Linked DNA regions of Macaca fascicularis. The protein of the gene in region 2 purifies or fractionates together with the protein of the main gene of each other region. This does not show direct contact. Links are inferred from orthologs where the notes say so. Each region holds a gene or a part of one and is shown on either strand. Other genes may lie near its edges. The genes, in order: MAP4K4, ZRANB1, CTTNBP2, STRN, CTTNBP2NL, STRN4 and GCC2.

The links.
Region 1: the proteins of ZRANB1 (region 2) and MAP4K4 purify together in Homo sapiens (affinity purification with mass spectrometry; 3 studies listed by BioGRID and IntAct, with this or other methods). This does not show direct contact. The link is inferred for Macaca fascicularis from reciprocal best matches to the Homo sapiens genes ZRANB1 and MAP4K4.
Region 3: the proteins of ZRANB1 (region 2) and CTTNBP2 purify together in Homo sapiens (affinity purification with mass spectrometry; 3 studies listed by BioGRID and IntAct, with this or other methods). This does not show direct contact. The link is inferred for Macaca fascicularis from reciprocal best matches to the Homo sapiens genes ZRANB1 and CTTNBP2.
Region 4: the proteins of ZRANB1 (region 2) and STRN purify together in Homo sapiens (affinity purification with mass spectrometry; 4 studies listed by BioGRID and IntAct, with this or other methods). This does not show direct contact. The link is inferred for Macaca fascicularis from reciprocal best matches to the Homo sapiens genes ZRANB1 and STRN.
Region 5: the proteins of ZRANB1 (region 2) and CTTNBP2NL purify together in Homo sapiens (affinity purification with mass spectrometry; 4 studies listed by BioGRID and IntAct, with this or other methods). This does not show direct contact. The link is inferred for Macaca fascicularis from reciprocal best matches to the Homo sapiens genes ZRANB1 and CTTNBP2NL.
Region 6: the proteins of ZRANB1 (region 2) and STRN4 purify together in Homo sapiens (affinity purification with mass spectrometry; 4 studies listed by BioGRID and IntAct, with this or other methods). This does not show direct contact. The link is inferred for Macaca fascicularis from reciprocal best matches to the Homo sapiens genes ZRANB1 and STRN4.
Region 7: the proteins of ZRANB1 (region 2) and GCC2 purify together in Homo sapiens (affinity purification with mass spectrometry; 3 studies listed by BioGRID and IntAct, with this or other methods). This does not show direct contact. The link is inferred for Macaca fascicularis from reciprocal best matches to the Homo sapiens genes ZRANB1 and GCC2.

What each region holds. Positions count from the first base shown.
Region 1 is NC_088387.1:6,341,035-6,344,534, reverse strand, and holds part of MAP4K4 (mitogen-activated protein kinase kinase kinase kinase 4), read right to left. Parts: intron 3,385-3,500; coding exon 3,151-3,384; intron 2,272-3,150; coding exon 2,165-2,271; intron 789-2,164; coding exon of another isoform or gene 786-788; coding exon 637-785; intron 4-636; coding exon 1-3.
Region 2 is NC_088383.1:133,885,944-133,890,187, reverse strand, and holds the start of ZRANB1 (ubiquitin thioesterase ZRANB1), read right to left. Parts: upstream 2,801-4,244; 5' UTR 2,656-2,800; intron 1-2,655. UniProt on the Homo sapiens protein: Ubiquitin thioesterase, which specifically hydrolyzes 'Lys-29'-linked and 'Lys-33'-linked diubiquitin. Also cleaves 'Lys-63'-linked chains, but with 40-fold less efficiency compared to 'Lys-29'-linked ones.
Region 3 is NC_088377.1:159,151,941-159,155,108, forward strand, and holds the end of CTTNBP2 (cortactin-binding protein 2), read right to left. Parts: intron 1,637-3,168; coding exon 1,391-1,636; 3' UTR 501-1,390; downstream 1-500. UniProt on the Homo sapiens protein: Regulates the dendritic spine distribution of CTTN/cortactin in hippocampal neurons, and thus controls dendritic spinogenesis and dendritic spine maintenance.
Region 4 is NC_088387.1:85,309,222-85,312,721, reverse strand, and holds part of STRN (striatin), read right to left. Parts: intron 808-3,500; coding exon 671-807; intron 1-670. UniProt on the Homo sapiens protein: Calmodulin-binding scaffolding protein which is the center of the striatin-interacting phosphatase and kinase (STRIPAK) complexes.
Region 5 is NC_088375.1:121,993,843-121,998,025, forward strand, and holds the start of CTTNBP2NL (CTTNBP2 N-terminal-like protein), read right to left. Parts: upstream 2,801-4,183; 5' UTR 2,430-2,800; intron 1-2,429. UniProt on the Homo sapiens protein: Regulates lamellipodial actin dynamics in a CTTN-dependent manner. Associates with core striatin-interacting phosphatase and kinase (STRIPAK) complex to form CTTNBP2NL-STRIPAK complexes.
Region 6 is NC_088393.1:54,747,706-54,751,945, forward strand, and holds the start of STRN4 (striatin-4), read right to left. Parts: upstream 2,801-4,240; 5' UTR 2,770-2,800; coding exon 2,488-2,769; intron 2,424-2,487; exon of another isoform or gene 2,387-2,423; intron 1-2,386. UniProt on the Homo sapiens protein: Calmodulin-binding scaffolding protein which is the center of the striatin-interacting phosphatase and kinase (STRIPAK) complexes.
Region 7 is NC_088387.1:15,941,707-15,945,708, reverse strand, and holds the start of GCC2 (GRIP and coiled-coil domain-containing protein 2), read right to left. Parts: upstream 2,801-4,002; 5' UTR 2,732-2,800; coding exon 2,717-2,731; intron 2,383-2,716; coding exon 2,326-2,382; exon of another isoform or gene 2,282-2,325; intron 915-2,281; coding exon 830-914; intron 1-829. UniProt on the Homo sapiens protein: Golgin which probably tethers transport vesicles to the trans-Golgi network (TGN) and regulates vesicular transport between the endosomes and the Golgi.

The DNA.
Region 1 (3,500 bases), on a different chromosome or scaffold from region 2:
ACGCTATTGGGTTTAAAAGGGACAAGACGGACGGACACATATCAACATATGGATGTGTATTACGAAGCTGCCCTGCCCACCCCGCCCACTCCTGTCTGCGCATTCATGGCAGGCTCTCCACATGCAGGTATGAACTACAGAGCAGAGAGGGCCCAAGGAGGGCTCCAGCAGCCTTCCTGACTCTTTTACTTAAACCCTCCATCATCACACTCACTTTGACACGTGTTCACAATGTATACCTTGTCACAGTATGTCAGTAATACAATAGAGGGAATATTCACTCATCTATTACAAGTACATTAAAATAACCAATACTGATGACGGTATAGGCTCTGCAGCCCAGACTGAAAGAAATGGGTTCAAATCCTAGCTCACACATTAGCCCATTACTTTGGAAAAGTTAGTTAATCCCACTAAATTGTAAAGCACTCACAGTGCTAGGTATATATTAAGCTCTCAAAATTTAGCTCCTTTATGATTAAAATCAGGATGACTATTATTGTCACTGGCAACCTATGCTAAAACATTGTTTTGTGATGTGTGGCTACACGCAAACCACAGATTAAGACGAACTTCCAATATATGGATCACAGCCCAAAACATTAGCAGGGAAAAGGCAAAGGAAAGGCAGCCTACATCTCACTCTGAAGCGTTCCCCGGAGCCACTCTGAGACCCAGGGTGAGACCCGGGCTGGGATCCTGAGTTGCTGGACCCTGAGGAGCTGCCACTGCCAGGTCTGGGCACCAGCTTCTCCACTCTCTCCCACAGAAGCCTGGGCTCAATACTGCTGTGAGAAAAGAAGAAAAAAGAACAGCTAATGCATCATCTCTAGATGCCGTACCATCGTGTGTCCATCCAATGTCTTTAAAATGTAGGGAGGAGAAAAACAGTCTATAAACAGCATTCAACATTAAATTCACCAAAAGATAAAATGACATTATTCATGGATTTTTATCTCATATATTTTTAGTTTGTATGCTAAATGGTATCCTACCATTAGATCTAAAATCATCAGGCGTGATATACTACTACTGTTCAGTGTAGAAGTAGCACCATTTCTGTCACAGCTACATGTCAGTTCTTAACATTAGGAAAACACTCCATATTTGTATAATTATACGCAAAACTATATTCTGTTTCTAGGCGGCTGCTCTCACCTGCCTGTTGCTGTTCTCAAAAACTGACACTTACAAAGAATAGTCCTTTGTATGGGCTGTTAGAAATTGTACAGAAAGCATGGACTGGGATGGATTTCCTGCCATGGATGAACCCAAAGCACACATGTGCTAGGTAAGGATTAATGACACAGACTTGGTCACAGAAGAACACCACAGTCCCCCTGCCACTAGCAGTGCTGAGGATTCTGTGCAGCTTTTGGGCCATCATCCATCTGACACTTCAAGTCAGACCAAGGTTCCATGCGCAGAAGGCTAACTTCGGAGGTTCAGTGATGATTAAGATATAAAACATTCAACATAATCAGCTTTTCTTCCCTATGATAGTGCTGGTCAATGAAGCTTTCTGTTATGATGAAAATGTTCTATATTTGAGCTGGATAATATCATAGCCACTAGCTACATGTGGCTATAGAGCTCATGAATATACCCAGTGCACTACGGAATGAAGTTCCCACTGTATTTCATTTTAACTAAATTTAACCTTTAATTTAAATTTAAGGAAACTTCTGTAGCTAATTGTACTGGACAGAGCAGCTCTAGAACCTAAAAAGGATATTATTTGGTTAATTCACTTGCTTATTGCAGACTGTCAGTCAACAAGTGACTTCTTCAGTAACCTGTTTGTGATTTCTGTTTTATGCCACAGGCCTTACAACGTCCCTTAGATGAAAAGCTCCCTCTGATCACAGTTCTCTTAGAACTTCTCTCCCTTCCTTGGTGCTCCCTCCATTTACTCATACAGAGAAAAGTAGTTTAAATTTCAGAGTTGTTATATTCATGCACACCCAGATTCAAACCCACTTTTTACTACACATCAACTTGATGCCATCCACGTTGATGGATTGTATGGCAGCTTTTCCTTTTATACCTAATAATCTCCTTGCCCCAGAACTTCTGTGTTTAAGAGCATTTTTATGAAACAGACAATGTAAGGCTGTGGTAGACTGCACAGGAGGCCTGTTCTCAGCGCTCGCTTGTCTTTTACCTGGTGGAGTTTCTCTGTCCTGCCTGGCTATTCTGCTGCCCACTGCCCTGCAGTGGGGAATCTCGACGGGACAGAACAGGGGAGCGAGATGTTGTTCTCACAGGAACCTTTAAGTAGAAAATATAGCAATTAAATTATTGAAAACATGAGAAGGAAAAAAAAATATTTCCCAACCAAAATATATTTTTAAAGCAGTCCTAATATTTAAAAGCAGTCCTTCCTATCACCTCCACTCCCCACCCCCACTCCTTCCCTGGTCCTACACTGATACAATCGGACAGAAAATTTAGTCACAGGCATCCAAGAAGCCAGTACAAACAGTCTTTCTATGCTCCTGTAACATTTAAATGATGTCTGGACTGAAGCTTGGTAGCAGGGACATACAAAGCATTTGCTGAGATAACGTGAGAATCAGGAAATAAGCTCAAAGAAACCAAACAATGGTCTATAAATGGATTGGCAGGAAGCAAAGACTGGCAGGAAGCAAGAAAATATTCAGAGGAAGCAAATTCCAAATGAGGAAAAATAAATTGACATTGGCTCTTTTGTTTAATTTCACTAACATGTAAACACAAAAACAAAACAAAATCCCCTACATTTAAAAAGAAAATAAAATTTTTCTTATAAGACCTTTTCTAAAAGTTTTGACATTAATACTGCGAAACTGCATAGCTTCTGCATAAACATATAGAAAAACTGCTAAAATAAATTATGAATTTGTTTAAGAAGCCTATTCTTTGTAGACATACTCTTACATCATTTTGCTGCCTTATTTAGAGTTAACAACAATAAAACGCTAACTGGCCACTGGCTGAGTAAAACTGTCTAACTATGGAACTTTATCCTCACCATTAAAAAGTCCCTTTGAAATTTCAATGCCCCTTTAAATTTGGTAAAGTTGCATCCCCATAATTAAAATAAATAATCTTAAAAAAAAAGTAACAAAAAGGAAAAAAGCAGCACACATCTGTCTTTCTGCTCCTTACCCTTGGAGGCACCTCGTCACTGTCTGATCTAGACCAAGCCTTTTGGGTAGGGTCGGGCGTCTCTGACTTAGAGTCAGAGCTCTGACTGAGCACCTCACTGCGGGAAGGTGGACATGGGTCCTGAGAACGAAGATGGTGGTGTGCAAATTTGGGAGGAGAAGGGTCACTGAAGGAATGGGATCGCGAGACAGGGGAAACATTGTTCTTGAGAGATGCCAGGTGGGACCACTGTACCTTACAAGAAAACAAAACACAAAACATTCAATGCGTTCTGCATAAAACTGGCTTTTCTGGTCAATACCAAATCCAAAGCAGGAACTGGCAGAGGCAGAATACACACCGGGGCGGTA
Region 2 (4,244 bases):
AAAACAAAAAAAGGCAGGGGGTGCTGGGCGCAGCGGCTCACACCTGTAATCCCAGCACTTTGGGAGGCCGAGGAGGGCAGATCACGAGGTCAGGAGGATAGAGACCATCCTGGCTAACACGGTGAAACCCCGTGACATTAAAAATACAAAAACTTAGCCGGGCGTGGTGGCAGGCGCCTGTAGTCCCAGCTACTCAGGAGGCTGAGGCAGGAGAATGGCGTGAACACGGGAGGCGGAGCTTGCAGTAAACCAAGATCGCACCACTGAACTTCAGCCTGGGCGACAGAGCGAGACTGCGTCTCAAGAAAAAAAAAGGAGGAGGAGGAGGGAAAAAAAAAAAAAAAAACCTGAACCAAATTAATAGTGGTCTACTTTTGTTTTGTGTTGTTTTCAAATGCAGTCCCGCTCAGTCACCCAGGCTGGAGTGCAGTGGCTCGATTTCGGCTCACAGCAACCTCCGCCTCCGCGGTTCAAGGGATTCTCTTGCCTCAGCCTTCCGAGTAGCTGGGATTACAGGCACACGATACCATGCGCGGCTAATTTTTTTATATTTTTAGTAGAGACGGGGTTTCACCATGTTGCCCAGGCTAGTCTCGAACTCCTGACCTCAGGCGATCCGCCCGCCTCAGCCTCCCAAAGTGCTGAGATTATAGGCAAGAGCCACCGGCCAGGTCAGTGGTCTACTTCTGTAATTCACATTTAAAGTTTACATTTATTATAAAGCACATGAACAAGCTCTCACTGTATCAATTACACATATGAAGCAATTTCCCTCAAATATTGTACAACTGGATCATGAGTTCCAAAACTATGTTAATCCTCAGACTTTAAATGTGACATGCCATAACCCCTATCAGCGTACAGACATGGATCAAGGCCACGAGCTTAAAATATATTACTATGAATGAGTTCATCATACCCAAGCACATTTCAAGAGTAAATAAATGGGTGTCCCAATGCTCTGAGGCATTAATAAAAGGCGCTAAAACAGCAACAGAAATAAAATCCTTCATGACATTCAAATAACATCCTCCTCAAAAGAGCAAAATGTGTCATTACTGTCCTACTATCTCGTAAACCCCCAACAGCCCAATAAAAACAATGTTATGAAATTTTAGTATAAAGAGCCTGCCTACCTTTAGAGCCAAAAGTCAAGAGGATTCTAAATTTTTTTAGAATTACTTCATTTAACTCAAAATAATAACAAGGAGACAAAATCCAGCTTTATTTCTCCCATAGTTCAGATGACTTTCCCAAGAGCCTTGGCACAAGGCGAGATCAAAATTCCTTATGGTTTCCCCTGGTTTATGTTTTGTACACTGAGTCATCCATGTTTGATCAAAACAGGGGTACTGCTGGATACTGCACAAGTGATGTTAACTAAAACACACAGGTAAAGAAATCACTCTTTACAGAATAGGTCCCAGAGTTAAAGATTTCTCTCAGGCCAAGCGCGGTGGCTCACGCCTAAATCCAGCACTTTGGGAGGCCGAGAGACGGGCGGATCACCTGAGGTCGGGAGTTCGAGACCAGCCTGACCAACATGGAGAAACCCCCATCTCTACTAACAATACAAAATTAGCCGGGCGTGGTGGTGCATTCCTGTAGTCCCAACTACTCAGAAGGCTGAGGCAGGAAAATCGCTTGAACCTAGGAGCTGGAGGTTGCAGTGAGCCGAGATAGCGCCACTGCACTCCAGCTTGGGCAACAAGCGCGAAACTCCGTCTCAAAAAAAAAAAAACTCGAATTGTGTTCCTAAAACGGTATTTTTGCATATTAGATTTATTAACATCATCATAAACACGGTGAAACCAAAATACTGGTAAAATGGGGCGGCGCTTAAATCGACAGTCTACGGAGTTATAGAAAAGGGTAATCAACTGACGGAAATACACAATTCTCAGCAAGAGAGTTTCAAAACACTAGTGTACCTCAAAGATAATGGGCCGGTTCAAACTTCCAGGCTTAACCTAAACTGCCTGTTCCCTGCGCTTAATGCCAGCATTCACTACAGTTCTTTTGTCTGTGAAATGACCCGCACCAAACCACAGCAGAGAAGAAACAGATCCTTGCACTGAACACTCGTTACTTAGAGCAGAAGGGGTAGACGAATCTTTCCACTAGCTCCAGCTCCTCCTCCCCACCCGCCTCGTCGTCCCCCACCTTTATTTTCCTAGAAATGGCAACTGGAGGCCACCGCAGGAGGTGGAAAGCAAGTGGCCGAGGGACTGAAACACAAGTTTGGAGACCAGAACCAACTTGTGGCGATGGACCCAAGTGTTTACGGCCTATTGCGGAATGGGACCGAAACCCCACTAGCTAACCCGTCTCCGGCAGGAAAAGAAGTTGTGGGGAAATCTGGCGGAAGAGCGGCGGCGGGACCCGCACGGCGTCCAGCCGCGGCCGGCCGGCGGTCGGTAAACAAGCTGGGCGGACCCGCCCTCCCACAGCCCCTGGGCCGTCCCCGCACCCGGAGCGCCTAAGATGGAAGGGCCGACAGCGGCGGCCCGGGCCCCTGCCCTCCCCGCGCCTGCGACGCGGCCGCCCCCGGGGTGCCGGGCGGGCGGGCAGCCCGGGAGGCCCAGCAACCTGGGCGCCGCCTGGAAGCGAGGGACCCGGCAGGCCGCGGTGGGGCGCCCCCCAGGGCCCGGTTACCTGGCGGCGGCGGCTCCCCCTCCAGCTCCTGCTCCTCCTCCCCGTCCGACGGGCGCTTGGCGGCGGCGGCGGCGGCGGCGGCGGCGGCGGCGACTCCCCGCGCAGCCCGCGGCGACGAGTCGAGCCCGTCCCCTCTCCGCCTCCCTCCGCGCCGCCGCCCGCCCCGCTGCTGCCGCCTCCGCCTTCTCCCCTCAGTCAGGACATGGTCTCCGCGGGTCCGCGCGCGGCTCCTGGCTGCCGGAGGCCGGGGTAGAGGGGCGGAGAGGAGGCGCGGAGGCTGGGGAGCCCCGGGGGGCGGGGGCAGTGAGGTGTGGGAGGCGGCCGCGGGGCTGCGGACCCCTAATGGCGGCAGCCGAGGGACCCGGAGCCAAATAAACCCCGCGGCGAGCGGCACAACGTCAAGGCCGGACCCAGACGCTCGCCGCCCTGTCATTGGCCCCGAGGCCGCCGGCGGCGCAGCCAATGAGCGGCCGCCTCATTCCGGGCTCAGGGGGCGGGTCGAAAGAGGGTGACGTCAGCCGGAGCGCGGCCTCGATTGTGAGTCGGTGGCGCGCGTTGGCCCCGCGCTGGTTCCCTTCCGCGGACCGCTGTGGGCCTGAGGGTGCCGGACCGCCGTGGGGTGCGTGGCGCTCGGGGGCGCGGGCTGACGGCGGCCCGGAGGGCGTCCTCGTCAGTGTCTGGAGGCGCGCTTTGCCTCGTCTCTGCGACACATGCGCCGGAGTTTTAAGTTAACCCCCAGGTCTCACGTAGCCTAAGCGATCTACGTATAACCCAAATGCTGCTTTACTTTTTCTTAAGGACTTTGAAGCTCTTCATAAAACACCAGGGAAGACAAAGCTCTAGGTGCTTTGTGATGGTTTGATTTTTTAAATTTATGTTTTGCAGTGTCCGATTTTTACCCCTGCCTTTGCTGGGGCTATCCGTGTATATGGATGTATGTGTATATTTCTCGTTGCTCTGTGCATGGTACATGTGTGCGTACGTAGATAGACACGCCATGAAAAGTCATGGAGACCTTGCGTCTTGCTCTCCTCCACGACTTACTGGCGCTAGTCTTGGGAAAATCCAACCTTCTTATGGATACCTTTTCTGTAAATTAGAAATAAACCTTTCCTAATAAGCCTTATTTCTGTAAATAAGCCTTACCTATCTTCAGGCCGAGGATAAATTACAGCTATGGAAAACATACTGCTTAGGAGAATCCCCTGGGACCAAGTTCTAAACAGATATGTGTATTTCTTTCTTTTTGTACTGTAAAAATAACCAAATAGCCAAAATAAGCCAGCCATTTGTTAAAACCCCATGAGTATGGGAAATTTTTCTAGCAAGAGATCTTTGTTTTTTCCCAGTGGGACTTTACCTTGTAGTTTTCATACTTAAAATTTTGTGAGGAGAAGATAGAATTTGAAAGATCAGCCGGGCGCGGTGGCTCAAGCCTGTAATCCCAGCACTTTGGGAGGCCGAGACGGGCGGATCGCGAGGTCAGGAGATCGAGACCATCCTGGCTAACACCGTGAAACCCCGTCTCTACTAAAAAATACAAAAAACTAGCCGGGCGAGGTGGCGGGCGCCTGTAGTCCCATCTGCTC
Region 3 (3,168 bases), on a different chromosome or scaffold from region 2:
TAACAAATCAAATTAGATATAATTTAAGCAGGTGTATGTGAGCAGGAAAAAAAAACACATTAGAACCACCTGAATGTAGATATGATCTATGATTTTGAGAGCATTCAGTTTTGTTCTCAAGATCAGTGACATAATCTTTACATTGTTATTTTTAAGGTATGTGCCGTTTTGTAATAGCAATACAATGCAGGTATGTATACTTCATTGTAAATAACCATTCTGGCCAAAAAAAGGCTTTCAATGACTTTGGACAAGTAAATGATTCCTGGTACAATCATACTTCTTTGGTATTTATGAAAAAGAAGATGTTTTAACCCCTGAGCACCCAATTCCTGGTGCTCCATTTAAGTATTTAAGATATTTCTAATAGGGTTGAATCTTGTGAATAGCTAGTGAAATACTAACATGGAAGGCAAGTTTTATGAGCATTACTAAATTGAACACAAATTATCTGTTGCATAGACTACAAAGAGCTATAGATAAAAAGTACAGCAAAATGATTTCACTAAATCAATATTTTATTCAGTGTCAAAGCATCTTAACTGAGTTGTATAAGTAATTTTGTCTGTAATTTTAGAAGTAACACTTGTAGAAAATATCAATTTTATTATCAGTTGTGCTGCTAGAAATAATATTGAAGGAGTTAATTCTGAATTAATTTATTCATTTATGCAGTTATTTATATCCACTTAGGTACAAAACTTTTGTAAGAAAGATAACACTTTTATTGCATTATAATTTCATATTTTACAGGAGTCATAATGCAAACTCATAAGCATAAATATATACATGATGCTACCAAATGGCAATGTAACTACTAAGAGATTTAAAACATAAAACTAGAATTTAACAAGCAAAATACTTAATATGGCTTTTAATGGAAAATAACTGTTTAGAAATGATTTGTTATTGCCCCATTCTAGTCATTCCCCATCAAGTGAACATAAAATTATGATCTCCATTTAAAATGGTACATGTTATCTAAGCCAAAGTTATACATTTTGTAGCATGTATGTAGTATGATTTGTGGACTTCCTTAAATATACATACATATATACATATATACAGATATACAGTACACAGTTCTGTTTTAATACCCCTGAACATCTTGATTAAAACTATTACAATTTTTTCTATTATAAAACTACTTGAAAAGTTGGCATAACTTCTTGGTATCGAAGTTCAATCCTACAGAATTTAAAAAAAAAAAAAAAGCAACAAAATGTTGGTTATAAATACATTCTTTACAAAAAAAATTGAATAGTGGTCCCGCACTCATAACTTATATTACAGTGAAAACATTTTATCCATTTAAAGGTATTTATATCTTGTTGTCCTTGGTTTCTGTGTGAAACAGAGGAAGTTAATAGTGAGAATATTGTAGGCAGGCCTATTTGTTAGGTTTGTCTAGGTGTTCATTTTTGTGTAAGTTCCAATTCTCTTCTTTTGAGTTGTTGTTGATTTCTATTTGCCTTGTATTACTGCTGCTGCTGCTTCTTTTGGTGTTCTGGGAACACAGGGTGACTTTACTTCTAGGAACAGGAAGAAAAGATTTAACTCTTGAAACACCCAACTCAGTCTTTGATTTACTGTTGCTGCATTCAGTAGTTTGATGGCTGCTGAGAGGACTGACCTCCTGTAAGAGACGAGAAACCACACAAGTTTATCACATTTGCCATTGTCACCAACTTCTCCTGTTATGAGCCCTACCCCTGCCTCCTCTTTGAGCAAATGCGCAGGAGTTTCTAAAACTATAGGTTCTCATGAAAAATCAAAAGAAAATGGAGAGGACAAGCTGAGTAATTAATTTCCTATAGATTTACTGCATGATTTTCATTAGTCCCCGTCTGGTGTTACAAAATTGCTAAATATAGGAGTCAGTGAATCAAGTGCTAAGGCATCGCTCTCCTTACCAGCAGAAACTTCACAAAATTACAGGCATGAGGAAATCACCAAATTGGAGTAGTCCAATTTGTAGGTAGCTCTGCAGACTGTCACCTTGGGTAAGTTACCTAACTTTTCTGCCTTCTACTTTCATGTCCTAAAAGTGACCTATTACTCAATAATCAAATAATCTGGGGGCATAGAGCAGAAAACATAAGAGAAACATCCCTTCCCTAGCAGAGCCTACATTCATCTATGATTAGGTTGCTCAAGATCTTCCATACTTGGAAGCTGCATGTATCTCCTTTCTCTAGTGTTTCAGAACTCCTGTGATTACCTGGTCAATGTCTCTTTTTGCCCATGAAGAATCTGAAAGCTGGATAGGTAAGATGATTTGCCCACAGTGAACGGAGTGGTGAAGCTGGGACAAGACCTCAGGTCTCCCAACTTCCACTCAAGGTGTTTTCCCCTATATTGCATCAAATTCTGCAAACTAACAAACATGATATGACTCCTACTAAGTGAGCTACTCTGAAAGCCTCTGAAGGAGCTGACCTTAATAACTTCCCCTCTTCACAGGTAATAATGCAGCCAACAGCAATATAACCATTAAAAGATTTAAAACAAAACTAAAATTTAACAGGAAAAATCTAACTTCACCTGGCAGTTGCATTCTCCTGGGTATCGTCTTACATGATATTGGAATCACCTGGGGGAGCTTTAACAGTCATTGGCTGGGCCCTATTACCAGAGATTCATATTTAATAGTTCTGGGGTGTGGCATGGACATAGGATTTTAAAAAATCTTCTCTAATATGTGGCCAAAATTAAGAACCCCTAGCTTAACTCCTCAATATCCTTTTCCTCCACTGACCAATTAAATCAGGGGTCCCCAACCCACAGGCTGTGGACCAGTCCATGGCCTGTTAAGAACTGGGCAGCACAGCAGGAGGTGAGCGGGGGCAAGCCAGCATTACCACCTGAGCTCTGCCTCCTGCCAGATCAGCAGCATTGGATTCTCATAGGAGTGCACACCCTCTTGTGAATTGTGCAAGTGAGGGATCTAGGTTGCCCAGTCCTTGCGAGAATCTAATGCCTGATGATGTGAGGTGGAACAGTTTCATCCAGAAATCATACCTTTTACCCAGGTCCGTGGAAAATTGTCTTCCAAGAAACCAGTCCCTAGGGCCAAAATGGCTGGGGACTGCTGTCCTAAATGGTAGTATTTTTCTTAGCCCTCTATAAGTCACACATTGGTGATCTTTCCCTTCAGAGTATTTCAAT
Region 4 (3,500 bases), on a different chromosome or scaffold from region 2:
TTATGTACTAAAGAAGCAAAGCAAATATTGTTTAGGTAGGCATGAATTACAACTAATTGCTGGTGCCCTGAAACAGAAAACAAAATTCAAATTTGGTAATGGAAAAAGGAATTCTTTCCCCTATCAAAAACCAATACACAAATCATACTAAATTATGGATTTAGGTAAAGCCCATAATTTTCATCTCTAGGTTATGGAAAAATGTTAGTTTTTCTTTATGTATCTTTCAAAGTTTTCAATGGAAACTGAACCAAGTTCTATATTTGTAAAGAAGTTTTACCACTGTCTTCATTTTCTATAAAATCAACTTTTTATTTTATTTTACTTTTTTGAAACAGAGTCTCACCCTGTTGCACAGGCTGGAGTGCAGTAGTGTGGTTTTGGCTCACTGCAACCTCTGCCTCCCAGGCTCAAGCAATTCTCCTGCCTCAGCCTCCCGAGTAGCTGGCATTACAGGCACCTGCCGCCATGCCTGGCTCATTTTTTGTATTTTCAGTAGAGACAGCATTTCTCCATGTTGGCCAGGTTGGTCTTGAACTCCTGACCTCAAGTGATCCGCCCGCCTCGGCCTCCCAAAGCATTGGATTTACAGGCGTGAGCCACTGTGCCCAGCGCAAGTTTTTATTTTTAAAAACCAAGTAAAAACATCAAAAACAAAACTACTACTTACATCGTAAGTTAGGGAGTCTGCTTCATTGGCCACCGTAAGGCCTGCTAGTTCTCCAAGTCCCAGTTCACTTTCAAGGGCTTCATCTGCTCCCATGATAAATGACTTTCCAGAAGAAGGAGGAAATGTCAATGCTTCCACTGAAGAGGGAAGACAAAGGAAACATTTAAAAATCTCTAAGGAGCCAACATTTAGTTTCATTTGCTTGCATCAAATTTCTTATAGTGCACGTATACACTTAATCGTTTTTAAATGCTTTTAAACACAATAAAATTCAGTGGGCAGAAAATCCTAAATAATTTATTGCTTTTTCCATATCTTAACCACAGGTAAAGGCATCAACTAATTAGAAAAGTAAAACAGGAAACAAATCTAAGAATCCACTGTCCTTTCATTTTCACTATATAAAAAATAATGACTATAGGAAAGTAAGTTTTCCTTGTTTGATATTTCATGCTAATTACCTAAACAATTTCTATTAATTACTAAATATATGTAACAAGTGCTGGTCTCATTCAAAATATAATTCATTAATTTTATAACCTAGAAGAGTATAGAAAATTTCAAATGAAAATGGGTCAAACTCTAAAATGTGCCTGTTTATGTGACAAAATCAATATGTGGTGTTACAAGTCAGGATTACCTCTGCTGGGCAGGAGAGGGGTAGTGATTAAAGAAAAGAAGCAACACAGGACTTCTAGGGCCCTGGTAATGTTCTACTTGTTGACTTAAGGGGTGGTGACATGGGAGGGTAATAATTCTACCTTGATGACAATTCACTGAGCTGTAATATCAGCACTCTTCTGTAGGTATATTATACTTCATCTAAAAATGTTTACTTCAGATAATATTTTTTATTTTTTTATGTTTTTTTCTGAGACAGTCTTGCTCTGTCGCCCAGGCTGGAGTGCAGTGGTGACATCTTGGCTCACTGCAACCTCCACCTCTTGGATTTAAGAAATTCTCCCTGCCTCAGCCTTCCGAACAGCTGAGATTACAGATGCGTGCCACCATGCCTGTCTAATTTTTGTATTTTTAGTAGAGATGGGGTTTCACCATGTTGGCCGGGCTGGTCGCGAACTCCTGACCTCAAGTGATCCACCTGCTTTGGCCTCCCAAAGTGCTGGGATTACAGGCGTAAGCCACCGCACCCGGTAAAGAAAATTTTTTGCTTTTGTTTTTGTTTTTTTGTTTTTTAGATGGGGTCATGCTCTGTGGCCCAGGCTGGAGTGCAATGGCGTGATCTCAGCTTACTGCAACCTCCGCCTCCTGGGTTCAAGCGATTCTCCTGCCTCAGTCTCCCAAGTAGCTGGGATTACAGGTGCCTGCCACCATGCCTGGCTAATTTTTGTATTTTTAGTAGAGATGGAGTTTCACCATGTTGACCAGGCTGATCTCAAACTTCTGATCTCAGGAGATCCACCCGCTTCGGCCTCCCAAAATGCTGGGATTACAGGCATGAGCCACCACACCTGGTGAGAAAATTTAAAGTGTCCATTTGAACACTTTCATTAGCTGTGAACTGTGTACTTCAAAAATGTCAGTTTTACTTTGTGAATAACTTGAAATATCCTATTTTGTAACATTTTGAACATACCAATCCAAGTCCTTCAACAACCATCATAGAAAAATCAGTCAAAAGCAAAATGTCATATTAATGATTTTATTAATTTGGTCAATAACAAAATGTCACTCTCCATAAATGCAAATTGTTCTGACAAACGTCAGAGATGGTCTTTGAGTAGTTTCCTAGAGGTGGTTATATATGACAAACATTTGTGATTCAGTAAGATGAATTTAGTAGTTCAAACCCTAGCTGCTAAAGGGGTAATTTTCTTAAAAGAAACAAGTCAACTGTATTGACTAGTACATGTACAAGACATTTTTCAGATTTATATTCAATCATGTATGATAATAAATACTCATTGAATAAATGAAAGAATTGGCCAGGTTCGGAGGCTCATGCCTGTAATCTTAGTGTTTTGGGATACCAAGGTGAGAGGACCCTTTGGGGCCAGGAGTCTGAGACCACCCTGGGCGACAGGGCAAGACCCCTATCTCTTTAAAAAAAAAAAAAAAAAAAAAAAATCTGAGACAGGGGTCTCGCTCTGTCACCCAGGCTAGAGTGCAGTGGTGCAATCTCAGCTCACTGCAACCTACGCATCCCAGGTTCAAGCAAACTCTCCTGTCTCAGCCTACCAAGTAGCTAATGCCACCATGCCTGGCTAATTTTTGTATTTTTAGTTGAGATGGGGTTTTGCCACGTTGGCCAGGCTGGTCTCAAACTCCTGACCTCAAGTGATCCGCCCGCCTGGGCCTCCCAAAGTGTTGGGATTACAGGTATGAACCATCACGCCCGGCCTCTACAAATTTTTTTTAACAATTAGCCAAGCACAGTGGTGCATGCCTCTAGCCCTAGCTACCTGGAAGGCTTGAGGCAGGAGGATCTCTTGAGCCCAGGAGTTTGAGGCTACAGTGAGCTATGACTGCACCACTGCACTCCAACCTAGGCGACAGAGCAAGACCATGTCTTTTAAAAAAAATTTAAAAATAGTTACTTGCTTTTAAAAACAGTAGTGACAAACTCTTAAAATCCTCATCAGAACAAAATAGAGCATAAATTAAGACATTATCAAACCACCATACAATACAGTAGCAAAAATAAAAATAGGTTTTACCCAAAATACCATATATCATCTGAGAAGTTCAAACAACTCTAAACATTTACTAAAGAAGAAAAGGAATTGTTTAAGTTAGAACAGCAATTTTCAGGTCAAAAATATCAGTCGAATGACTCATGTGAGACTATGATGGTAGGTCTTCAGCCAGGTGT
Region 5 (4,183 bases), on a different chromosome or scaffold from region 2:
CTATTCTTGAGCAAAAATCAGTAAACAATCAGTCCCTAGTGAGCTCTTCTAAATTCACTTCATTCCTATCGGGTCAGATATTTAAAACAATAAAATCCTGAAATGATTAGCACTCATTATGTTCTTAAGTCTGGTGCAAATTTCATGACAGTAAAAATAGTATTTTCTAACCAGTAGATTTTATATATATATATATTTTTTTTAACTGCTTTTTTTTTTTTTAAGAGACAGGGTCTCTTTCTGCTGCCCAGGCTGGAGAGTGCAGTGGCATGATCATAGCTCACTGTAACCTCAAACACCCGGGCTCAAGCAATCCTCCTGCCTCAGCCTCCCAAGTAGCTAGGATTACAGGGATGAGCCACCACATCCTGCCTCACAGATATTTCTTTATAAGAAATTCAAAATTTTAGTCACTTAAGACACTGGAATTTCATAAGACAGCAGATGGGGAAAATCAAGTTAAATGAAGACAACAAGTAGACGGTTTATACTAACAAGTTGTGCCACATCTAATCAGTGCATTGCCTTTCAGTCTACCCTAAGGTGACAGCTTCAAACTAAGTTAAACAAACACTCATTAAGTCATACTATATACCAGGAACTGTGAAAGAGACAAAGACGAAAAACAAAAAATACTACTATCTGCCCTCAAAGAATTTATAATTCAAGGAGAGAGATCAGACATATATCCCCTGCATACTACGCTTTTCTTCATCTGGCATGACCAAACAGGTGTTGAAAAGGTTAAAGGAAAGATTTTCAAGACCCAAAAGTGTAACAAACAGATCTTGCTTACTGTGCTAAATAATAAAAGAACATTATTTGCTTTTTCCTATTAAAGCTCAGCAATCACCACAACTTTGGTTTGCTTAGTCTCTTACCTTAGTTTATTTTCTGTTCTCTGCTGATGTAATACAACTTATCTTTTTGGGATTTTCTGTTCTACTTTTAGCTTTTTCTGCTGTTATTGCAGGGAGCCCATGTTTTACCCTTCTATTGCAGCACACATTGTGTTTGCTAGAGACACCCTCCAGTTTCTTCTTTGTGCTTTCTTATTGGAGATTTGGAAACGCTCACTAAGAAGATCTGTGAGCACTCTGAAACCTTCAATTCTAACTATTCAAAAATAATTACCCTCAGGAAGTCTAATCAAGAAGGTAAAAGACAACAGTCATTACAATCACCCTCTGTGATTCCAACTCCTTGAACTTCATTGCCATCAGCTTTGGCTATAGTTGACAGCGGGGAGGTGGACTTGAGATTGAAAGCAAAAAAAAAACTATGCTAAAAATATGGTAAATTTTAATATATAAAAGTGCTAGCGATAGATGATTACTGGGGATTCAACGACATTAACTTGAGGTCAAAATCAACACTTTGCACCTGCTGAAATGAAGGCCACTTGACAAAACCTTTAGGAGCACACTAGAGGCACTTTTTGGTAAACATGAATAGCTAGAACACCTTGCCTTTATTTACTTTGATCTCTGAGATTAAAAAATTACTTTTCATCGTCTAAATTTTGATAGATGATCGTAAAACCAATCAAAATATACATGAATGTTTCCTGGGGGCGGGGGAGACACTATAAAAAAGGGGTTAGAGAGTAACCAAAGGACACAGGACTAGATTAATCATAAGCCTAGATGACTGACCCTGAATTTTCTTCAAACACTTCCTGCCTTTTGTTTCAAACTGCAGTATACCTTCAAGGTTAACTGCAGTCTCCCTGAGCAATGGACCAGCCCATCCTAGACTGGGATATACTCATTCCTAATCCACTGCTATTTATTTACTTACGTATACTGTTTCATTTGAAAACATGGTGTTATTCATTGACTGTCAAGCAACATACACTGCATTCCTGCCCACACAAAGCCAACTCTGCAGATATCCAACACACCCACCTCACTGTGAAATATAAGATGGCTTTTCATCAAGTTCTCAGAGAAGAAATAGGGTGGAAAAGGAAAAATGAAACGCAATTCAAACCTAAGAAACCCTTAGAGGCTGGGTTCTCCCAGAAGGAACAGAAAGTAGAAGAAAGGTACAAAGGGCGAGGGAGAGGAGGTCCTAGTTCTCCCTCTTTCAGAGTCCAAAGAAGTCCCAAAACAGGAGAGCTCTCGACTCCTCACAAGAGGCCAGAGGATGTGAGGGGCGGCGGGAGGAAGACTGAGCATCAGAGAATGGGGGATGGGAAGAACTTAAGTGGGAGAAGCCGTTTCCTCGGTAAAGCTGGCTGTCTAGGTCGGTCTTTGATTTTCGCTTCGCCCCATCCCTCTTTTTTGGGAAACACTAATTTTATCTTACGGAGGAAAGCAGCTCCAGTCCCACCCTGGAGAGCAGAGACAGGTGTAGGGAGGGATGTCTGGCCTTCCGGGGGTGCAAAACGGGGTTGGGGGCGGCAGCCTAGAGAATCGGTACGGTACCTGTGAGTCCTCTCCTCCAAGGCTGAGGTGCGGGGTGGGAAGAGCCTTTGAATGAGGGGTATCAGAGGGAAGCCCCTTCTGAGGAGCTGGGAATCGACGAGGGACAAAAAGTAGCTGTGAGGACCCTCAAAGGATGAGGAGCCGCCTCCTCGGGGAATACCGGGAGGTGGAGGAGATGGCCCCGCCCCCTCAGGGGATGGGCCCAGAGGCCGTTAGGACAGCGGCGAGAAGCTACCGGTGCCCCTATACTTGCTTTGCTCTTGAGAACCCGGCCTCTCAGCCATCATCAAGCCCCAGGGAGTGTGGTTCCTACCTTTCCACGACGCACCGGGCTCCGCTCCCCTCCGCCTCTACTCCCCATCCACAGCGGCAGAGGCCCCGCCCCCTCAGCCGCCCGGCGGGGGCATTGGCATTCACCAGCGCCAATCGCCTCCTTGCTTCTCCAGCATTGTCCCCAATCCGCGCCGGCTGGAGGCGGAGCTTCTCCAATGTCATTCAGGCTCCTCCCGGGGCCCCAAGATCCCTTTTGTTTGGGAAGAGCAAGGCTGGGATTGAGCTCGCGTCACTTCCGGGAGGAAGCGCCGTCCTCGGTCCCGGGCTTCAGGATGGGCTCGTGCCCCTCCCGGCCCTTGGTCTGCAACTTTCCACCTCTGCGTGGTTTCTGGGCAGGACCGTGGCTAGTGCTTAGTGCTTTTCCCTGACTGTACGGGGAGTTTAGGAAAGGAGGGCTCTGGTGGCCTGATCGATTGGGATTTTTTCCAGAATGTTAATAAATGAAGTGGGCTTTGATGTCTGCATTAGAATGAATTAGTTGTTGAAAACCTGGCTTCCTTGCTCCCCCCTTTTTTTCTTTTTTCTGGACGCAACTGTGGGCGTGGTGCTGCAAGCAAGGGTGCAAAGATGAAACACCTGGAGATCACCCTTCTCTCAACCACAGTTTGTACAGAAGAGAATACTAATTTTGGGGGACATAAATCCAGCCGACCTGCTTTCCAGGCAGAAATCGAATAATTGCAAATTTGTGTGGCAGGTTTTTCCACACTATGCTTGCCAGCTGAGGCGACTTTTTTCTGTCCTTGGCCTCATTATATTGCGGGGAATGGTGTTTGCCGTGAAGTTAAACAATGGAGAGTACAGAGGATGCAAGGAATGTCTGCCTTGTGAACACAGGAATGCAGATCTTGGTGGCAGCAAGTCTTAGGCAGGACCGAGTAACTCAGAAAGGGGAGTGGATGTATAACTAGTTGTATCCCTACCTGAAGTCAAAGTTTCTGAATTCCATTTCCACAGAATGGCTGTCAGCTCACAGATTGATTCAGCTGGTTACATTTACGATAACCACATTATTTTAAATACAATATAGTAAATATTTGAGACGAATATTTATAATGCACAAATAATGTAGTACACTTAATACATTATCCCTAAACTTAGCAATTATAATTCGCAAGACAGCATTAGGGACCTAGTACTTGCCTAGGCAAACAGTCCTCAAGGCAGATGCCGCCTGCCCCATGCAGTTTACAGTCTGACCGAGGGATGTGATCAGTCTGTGCGATTATAGTCTGAAAGAAGTAAACGAGTATTTATCATGTTATCACTGTGCCATGTACTTTCATTTAAATGGTATTTGATGTCATCTTCAGTACTGTATGAGAAATCTGTCGTACAGTGTAGGATAGACACCATTGTGTCCAATTTACAGATGAGAAGATAGAGATTCAGAGAAGTCAAATAAAGTCATAGAGCTAGTA
Region 6 (4,240 bases), on a different chromosome or scaffold from region 2:
GGGAGGCCGAGGCAGGTGGATCTCTGGCGGCCGGGAGTTCAAAACCAGCCTGACCAACGTGGCAAAACCCCCATCTCTACTAAAAATACAAAAATCAGCCAGGCGTGGTGGTGCACACCTGTAATCCCAGCTACTTGGGAGGCTGAGGCAGGAGAATTGCTTGCAACTGGGAGGCAGTGGTTGCAATGAGCCGAGATCATGCCACTGCACTCCAGCCTGGGTGACAGAGTGAGACTGTCTCAAAAGAAAAAAAAAAAAGGTCCACAGACAAGCCCTTCTGCTCATCTGCTGGGATCCTCGATAAATCACCCTCTCAAAACTTCCATTTCCTCGTGATTTTTTTTTAAAGGCAGGGGGAATATCCTTTACCCTTCCAGAAGGCCATAAGAATGAAATGACAGCTCGTATCTACAGTACTTGATACACAGCCCCAGACATGGTATGTGCTCACTAAATTGCAGCTGGTGCCGTTATTGCTGAGTGAGGTAATGACACTGCCTCTGCCTACATCACGGGGCACTGAGAAGATCTGATGAGATGTATGCTGGGAAAGAGCTTCGGAAGTAGAGAGTGGGACACAAGTGAGAGCAGTTACATAAGGATTCTGCTCCCACCCCAGCTCCAAGCCTCAGCCACCACAAGTGAGGGCAGGGGGAGAGTTACTTGAGGTCTTTACTCATCCTACGAACAAAATACCGTTTTTGTTGTTGTTGTTTTCTGAGATAGGATCTCACTCTTTCGCCCAGGCTGGAGTGCAGTGGTGCAATCATGGCTCACTGCAGCCTCAACCTCCGGGGTTCAAGCAATCCTCCCACCTCAGCCTCCTGAGTAGCCGGGACTACAGGTGCACATCACCACGCCCGGCTAATTTTTGTACTTTTTTGTAGAGATGAGGTCTTGCTATGTTGGCCAGGCTGGCCTGGAACTCCTGGGCTCAAGGGATCCTCCCACCTCAGCCTCCCTAAGTGCTGGGATTACAGGCATGAACCACCGCACCCCATCCCTACCAACAAAATTCTCATCAGTTATTTATTTGGGTGCCAGCTTCCACTAGATAGAAAACGGCAAATCGGAAGGGGAAACGTGGGCTGCTACAAGGAATACTAGCAGAAAAGTACTGACAATTTCTGCTAATAATAACCCAGTCCAAGAATCTTCAGACCTCCAGTGGGCCATTCCTAATCCCTTCAAATCCGGACATCTCCATGATCCTCCAGTCACTGCCAATGGACCTGATGCTCCACGAGGTCACAAACCCCAGCCCAACTCTTCAGACTCTTCCATACATCAGCCCGGAGCACATCCCTGTCCCAAGCTACCCCACAAACCATGGGGTCTTTTCCCAGGACTTCCACAAACATATCTCCTTCCCCCCAACCCCACCCTACCCCCGTTCTCTCTGAGATGCCTCCTCATGTTGCCTTCGGGCTCTACAAAATTCTCCCCCCTAAAGCATCACCCCAGGGTAACACCTAACTCGTCCTCATTGGCACCATCCCAGGACCCTCACCTCCATACTGGACATGCCCGACACCCCCACACTCCAGTTCAGGGTTCTCTTCCTACATCCTACACACACGTCCCATCTCAGTGCCATCGCGCCCACTCCTGCACACCCCCAAGTGGAACTTCCACTCTCAAGTTCTCCCACCCAGGCTCCTAGGGTACATCTCCTGCTCTGTCCACACTTCCACTCCAAAGATCCCTTCCCTGCACTCTGCAGCCACACACGCCCGGGATCCCCAAAGTTTCCCCTAAGAGGGAAAGGCACACACCTTCATCCTGGACCCCTCGAAACTCTCTTCCCACCTCTCGGGTCCTTACACAGCCACCCTTCCGTGCCCACTGTCCAGTCGCCCCGAAACACATCCATCTCAGGCTCCCGGACTTCCTCTCCCTAACTCCTCCCGGTTCCCGGTCTGGATCCGCTCTTTCCCAGCGTGTCCCAAGTCCCCCCTCGGACGCTTCTACTTCCCACCTGCACCTGGCTAGGGCCGGGGTCGGGGGTCCCTCTGCGCCCGCCGAGCTTCTGCTCACTCCCACAGGAGACCACTCAGGTCTTTCCCAGACCCCTCCAGCTCCTCTCCACACCCTTTCCCGAGTTCTCTTGGGCTCCCCTCCAGGGCCCGAGTCGCCTCTCTCAGGAGCCCCGCGGCCGGCGCGCTCAGTTCCAGTCCCAGTCCCACTCCCAGCCAGTTCTGGTACCTCGGCCCCTCTCTCTCGGCCGGTCCCGGTGATCCCTCCCACTCCCGGTCCCTCCACTCCCACCTCGGGCCGTCCCGGTCCCCTCCCACCCGGGGTGCCCTCAGGACACCCCTCGAACGGCCCCTCACTCGCCCTCCGGGACCGTCGCGGTCCCCTCCCGCCCCCCCCCGGCCGTCCCGGCGGCCATTGCTCCAAGATGGCGGCGGCGGCGGCGGCGGGTGAGGCCGGGCCGGGCCGGGCCGGGTGGGGTTGGGGGGTCGGGGGTCCCGGGACGGCGCTCACCTGTAACTCGGCGCGCTCGGCCTCCCAGCGGGCTTTCTCGGCTTCAAAGCGCGCCCACTCGTGCTGGATAAAGTGCAGGATCCCCGGCAGGCTCAGGGGCTCCGGGCCCGCCGTGGGCCCAGGGCTGCCTCCGCCGCCGCCTCCCTTACCTGCCGGGCCCGGCCCGGGGGCTGGGGCGGAGACCGGGGCCGCCCCAGTGGGGCCAGGGCCCGCGCCTGAGCCGAGCGGACGGCAGGAGGAGGCGGCGGCGGCGACCGCGGCGGCCGCTCGCTCCTCCATCATGGAGGCCCCGGGGCCGGCCCGCGCGCCCGCTGTGCTTCGCGCGCCTGCGCGGGCGCTCCAACACCCCCCACCCCCCCCCCGCACCACACACACCACCACCGCGCGCGCGCCTGACGGAGGACAGTGGGAAGAGGGGCTGGTGGCGAGCTCGAGGCCGGGCACGAGCCTCGCCCACCCGGGTCGACCCCAAGGGCTAGCGTGCCCGCGCGGGGGGCGGCGAGAGGGAGATCGCGCCCCGAGGAGGGCGAGGGAGACCCAGACCCCGCACGACGGTCCCCCTCGCTGGAGTGAGACTGAGGAAGGGGCCACTTTCTGCCCCCCTCCTCCTACTCCGCCCCAGAAAAAGAGCCTTACCCCTTCCACACCCAAACATCACTCTCCTGGACAATTACTTTTACTCTGAGAGAAAGGGCGACCAGCAGTGGCCCCATCCTCTCTGATTCCTGTCCAGGTCGGTTGTCATGGTAACCTTTCCCCATTGGTGGGGGCGAGTTGGTGGGGGACAGCCTTCCCCTCCCTTCCACCTTTGTGGTTATGGAGCCCCAAACCTCTTCGGACTCTGCACCAGGAGAAGGTTGCTAAGGTAACCTAAGTCCCTGGTGGTCCTTCTGCTCCTTTCCTCATTGGTTACTATGGCAACCCCCCACACCTAGCCTTCAGGTAGAAAGTACCCCAGCCCCAAAGACGCTGATCTCTAAGAGAAGCACCTCTTCCCCAGCCCCTCCCCCATAGCCACCTAGTTGGCATTACCATGGTAACCGTCTTCCCCTTCCCATTGTGGGAGGCCCATGCACCAAACCAACCAGGTGTTTTTATTTAGAGGAGGAGATGCTCTGCTGAGGGGCAGTTGCTATGGTTACAGGGCCTGGACCATCCTCTGGGGGACGAGAAACAGGCAAGGTCAAGGCCTGGTTACTATGGTAATAGAGAAGCCCCCTTCGAGTGACCCTAGGAACCAAGCCCAACCAAGGAGGGGAATTTTTTTTTTTTTTTTTTTTTTTTGGAGACGGAGTTTCACTCTTGTTGCCCAGGCTGGGATGCAATGGCCCGATCTCGGCTCACCACAACCCCTGCCTCCCTGGTTCAAGCCGTTCTCCTGCCTCAGCCTCCTGAGTAGCTGGGATTACAGGCATGTGCCACCACGCCTGGCTAATTTTTTTTTTTTTTTTTTTTTTTTTTTTTTTTTTTTTTTTTTTGAGATGGAGTCTCGCTCTGTCACCCGGGCCGGAGTGCAGTGGCCGGATCTCAGCTCACTGCAAGCTCCGCCTCCCGGGTTCACGCCATTCTCCTGCCTCAGCCTCCCGAGTAGCTGGGACTACAGGCGCCCGCCACCTCGCCCGGCTAGCTTTTTTTGTATTTTTTAGTAGAGACGGGGTTTCACCGTGTTAGCCAGGATGGTCTCGATCTCCTGACCTTGTGATCCGCCCGTCTCAGCCTCCCAAAGTGCTGGGATTACAGGCTTGAGCCACCG
Region 7 (4,002 bases), on a different chromosome or scaffold from region 2:
TTGGCAGGCTGAGGCAGGAGAATCGCTTGAACCCAGGAAGGGGAGGTTGCAGTGAGCTGAGATTGTGCCCCTGCACTCCAGCCTAGCCAACAAGAGCAACACTGTCTCAAAAAAAAAAAAAAAAAGAAGAAACGAAACGTTAATCGAAGTGTTTCACTAGCGAATGCCTAGATCTCAGGCCTAGAACTTCTTTCCAAATAAATTATTCTCTTTATTGCAAAGTGATCCAAACTCCCAAGACATAATTTTATCTTTTCTAATAGAAAACAAGTCTCGGCTTTTAGGCTAAGCAGTTAATATTTGTAAGTCACTGGAAATTCAAGAGCTCATGTACATATACTAAGAAAAAGATCTAAGATCTTTTTCCTTCTGGAATAAAAAGAAAACTGAATAGGGAATCAATCAACTTCAACAGATAAATATACTTTAATGTCTATAAATGGAAATCTTTTATTATTTTAATTGAGGAAGCGTTCCATCTCTTTGGGCTTATCTTCTGTCTCTAACATTTCAACTGACTTCTCTTGAAAAAACGCTTTACTCAGAATAATCTAAAGTCTACATGAAGGAAAAACACTTAACTTGCACAAACTTTAAAAATCCTCCTCCCTGACTTTAACAACTCAAAAGTCACTGTGGTTTAAAGACGTGGGAATAATTTAGAAATCAGAGGTAAATTTTTAGAATGTTAAATAACAGATTCTACTACACTAAGGTGTACTTGGAATCACTGGAAAACAAAAACAAGCCAATGCATTATTTTAAAAACTACCATTTTAAACCACGATTAAAGAGACTGTGATCAAGATGAGTATTTTCAACCCAATACCTGTACACCTTGACTTAGCTTTCTGTATTAGCATCATCTGTTTCTTGGCAAACTTGATGAGGTCTTCTTTGGGCAATGTTTCCAGCTGAAAGATGTGGTTATGTTACCAACTTGTTACAACTCATGTTTCTAGTATACCACAAAAAACAAACAATGTCTGCCAGAAAACAAAAACATTCTACAGAATAAATCTTTATGCCAACAGCATACTTTGTTCCACTTTTTTTTTTTTTGAGACAGAGTCTCGCTCTATTGCCCAGGCCGGAGTGCAATGACACGATTTTGGCTCACTGCAACCTCTGCCTCCCAGGTTCAAGCAATTCTCCTGCCTCAGCCTCCCAAATAGCTGGGATCACAGGCGCCCGCTACCACGCCCGGCTAATTTTTGTAGTCTGAGTAGAAACGGGGTTTCACCATGTTGGCCAGGCTGGTCTCAAACTCCTGACCTCAGGTGATCCACCCGCCTCGGCCTCCCAAAGTGTTGGGATTACAGGCGTGAGCCACCGCGCCCGGCCACATCTTTTAAAATAAGGAAATGCAACGTCAACTCTGTAATTGCTATGCAAGTACTAAAAATTAGTTATGCGACTACTATTAAACGCAAATACCAGGGCATATCCTCTTATAGCTAATGTTACAGGTTGACATTGCTAGCTTTTGATTTAATTGTAAAATTAGTGGGTTGGAGCTAATGCTACTTAAAATTGCTTGGAGCTGTAAAAGTATTTCATTCTATTTAAGGCTGAAAGTGTCACAAGAAAATGTAAGCATAATTACAGCAGCAAGATGAACCAGGTGACATTCAGGCTTTAATTAAAAAATTAAGCTTTACCACTTGAAAAAATTACTTAAGCCTGTAGTCTCAGGTTTAAGCTTTACCACTTGAGAAAATTACTTAAGCCTGTGGTCTCAGGTTTCTCAACAACAGTACCTATCTCACGGTTATCATGAAGCTTAAATGAAGTAACTGAGTGGTTAGGCAAGTGCCTGAAATTTAGCATGCAAGCAATAAACCTTAGCAATAAACTACTATCGTTTAGCATGATTAAATGTTAAACACCGTACAAGGCCATAAAACTGGACTAATTCAACGCTTTGACAATGTAAAAACTGGAGCCCACAGATCAGAATCCCTTGATCCCTACACTATGTCACTGCTCCTTCCACTACATCACTATATAAACCTTCTTAAATTAGACTGCTTTGTTTCATGTTCGAAAAATCGCAGGATCTCCCAGCAGTGCTAACCAGGAGCAGGAAGTAAACAAAAAGTCTTTTTATATCGGGGTGGGCGGGGGAGAAAGAAACAGGAAATGGATTGGTGACTGCGTCAACTAAAATTGAGATCCCTTGGAGCAAGGATATTAAAAAAATAAATTATATGTGTGTGTGTATATATACATATATATATAGCGCCCCCCTTCTTCATGCCAAAGTTTTCCAATTCATCACCCTTCCAGTCTTCAGGGAGCCCGCTATTCAAGTATCCTCTTCACCTTAGATTTCCCGGTCCCAGGGGTAGCTGGTGAAGCCACCCCATCTTGAACAGGATCCTACAAAACAAAATCAAACGCAGGTGTCAGAAGAACTCTTTTCCTAATCCCACACGGAACGCGTGGAACCTTTACAGGGAAAAACCTTCTATGGAATCAAGTGGTGGAAAGCCTTGTGAGACAGAGAATGAGGGCGGACGGAGGCGGTCGCTGTGGCAAATCGTATACAAACGGGCTCTATGGGGACAGGTAACCGCCAGGGATGGAGTTTAGGGAAGATGTGGCAGGCGACTGCAGAGCGGGCTTCGGGGTACCCTCCGCGCCCTCCCACCGGGCCCACCCCCACATCCCAAGTAGCTGCGCGGAAGGCTTGATGGGAGGCAGTGGGCCCGACCTGAGTTACCTCCATCGCCGCCTGCCTGCCGCTGGCCCGCAACCAGCCGCCGCCACCGCTGCACTTCTGTTTGCGCCAGCCTCTGACGTAGGCTCGACTGCAGGTCAAAGGTCGCGCTCTCCGGGCGGCCCGCCCCCCGCGTCTCCATAGCTACGGCTCGGCAGCACTTCCGCTTACGCCTCTGTGTCCGGGTTAAGGTTTCCCGCGCCGCGCCGAGGGCGGAGTCGGTGTAGGCGTTCTACCTGGGGCTCGACCCCTGGGCCTGCGGGTCACAGGGTAGGTGTGGTTCCCGCCACCGCCGGTTATTGGCATGGGAACGCGGGCCGATTACCCCTTGGGGCCTCGGTTTCCACGTCTGTAAAATCTTGTGAGAGTGAGGAGAGCATTGGATTGAAGTACAAGTCCCTCAGGCCCCGAAGGTGTCTACTAGCCTGCGAGTGCCTGCGGGACCCACAGTTGCTTCCGGGGGTGGCTCCTTAGGCATTTGTGGCCAGCATGGTGCCCGGGAGCTCCGTGACTCACAGGTCAGTGATGAGGTGGAGGACTTCCCTGAGGAGGCGTTCCTTGACTCTGGAGGCTGTGAGGAGGTCCCGGGACAGCTCTGCCCTGTAGCCGCCCAGTACTGCTGGTGATGTGGTAGAGGCAAGATAGTCTGCCAGGGAGCTGGGCAGCTGTGGGAGGAGACTCTGTAGAATAGGGGGCACGAGGGCACGCCGAAGAATCTGTGGTCGAATCCCAGAGCTGCTGCAGTGTCCTGATTGGCGGTCCAGTGCTCTGAGAGCCTTTCTGTTAACTGCTGAAGTGGTTTGCTACACTTTTACCTTTCCATTCATGTTTTCCATACACTCCCATAACTAAGGTGACCTGAAGATAACTCAGTTTCCTGTAGTTTAAATGGTCAAAAGGATGAAGAGGCAGCATACAGTATGTAACCAGTAAATGGTAGCTGCTTATTACTAGGTAAAAGAAGTGTTATTGTGGACATCTACTCTTTGTCTTTGACAGGGTGTATCACCCATAGTGTTTGACTAGGATTGGTTCAGGGGTGGTGTGTGACCTAAGATGTACAGTCAGAAATTTTGAGACTTCTATTTAGTATTTTGGTTTAGTGATACTATTTTCTCTTTCTTTGGATGTGATTGAAGAAACATACAGCCCTGATTGCTGTTGGCAGACAGCTGCCGCTATGGTAGAAAGCAGCCTGAGGACAAAATTGTTAAGAGGAAAAAGCAGCCTAAGGACAAAATTGTTAAGAGGAAAAAAGCAGAGCCGAGGCAGCTCCGGAG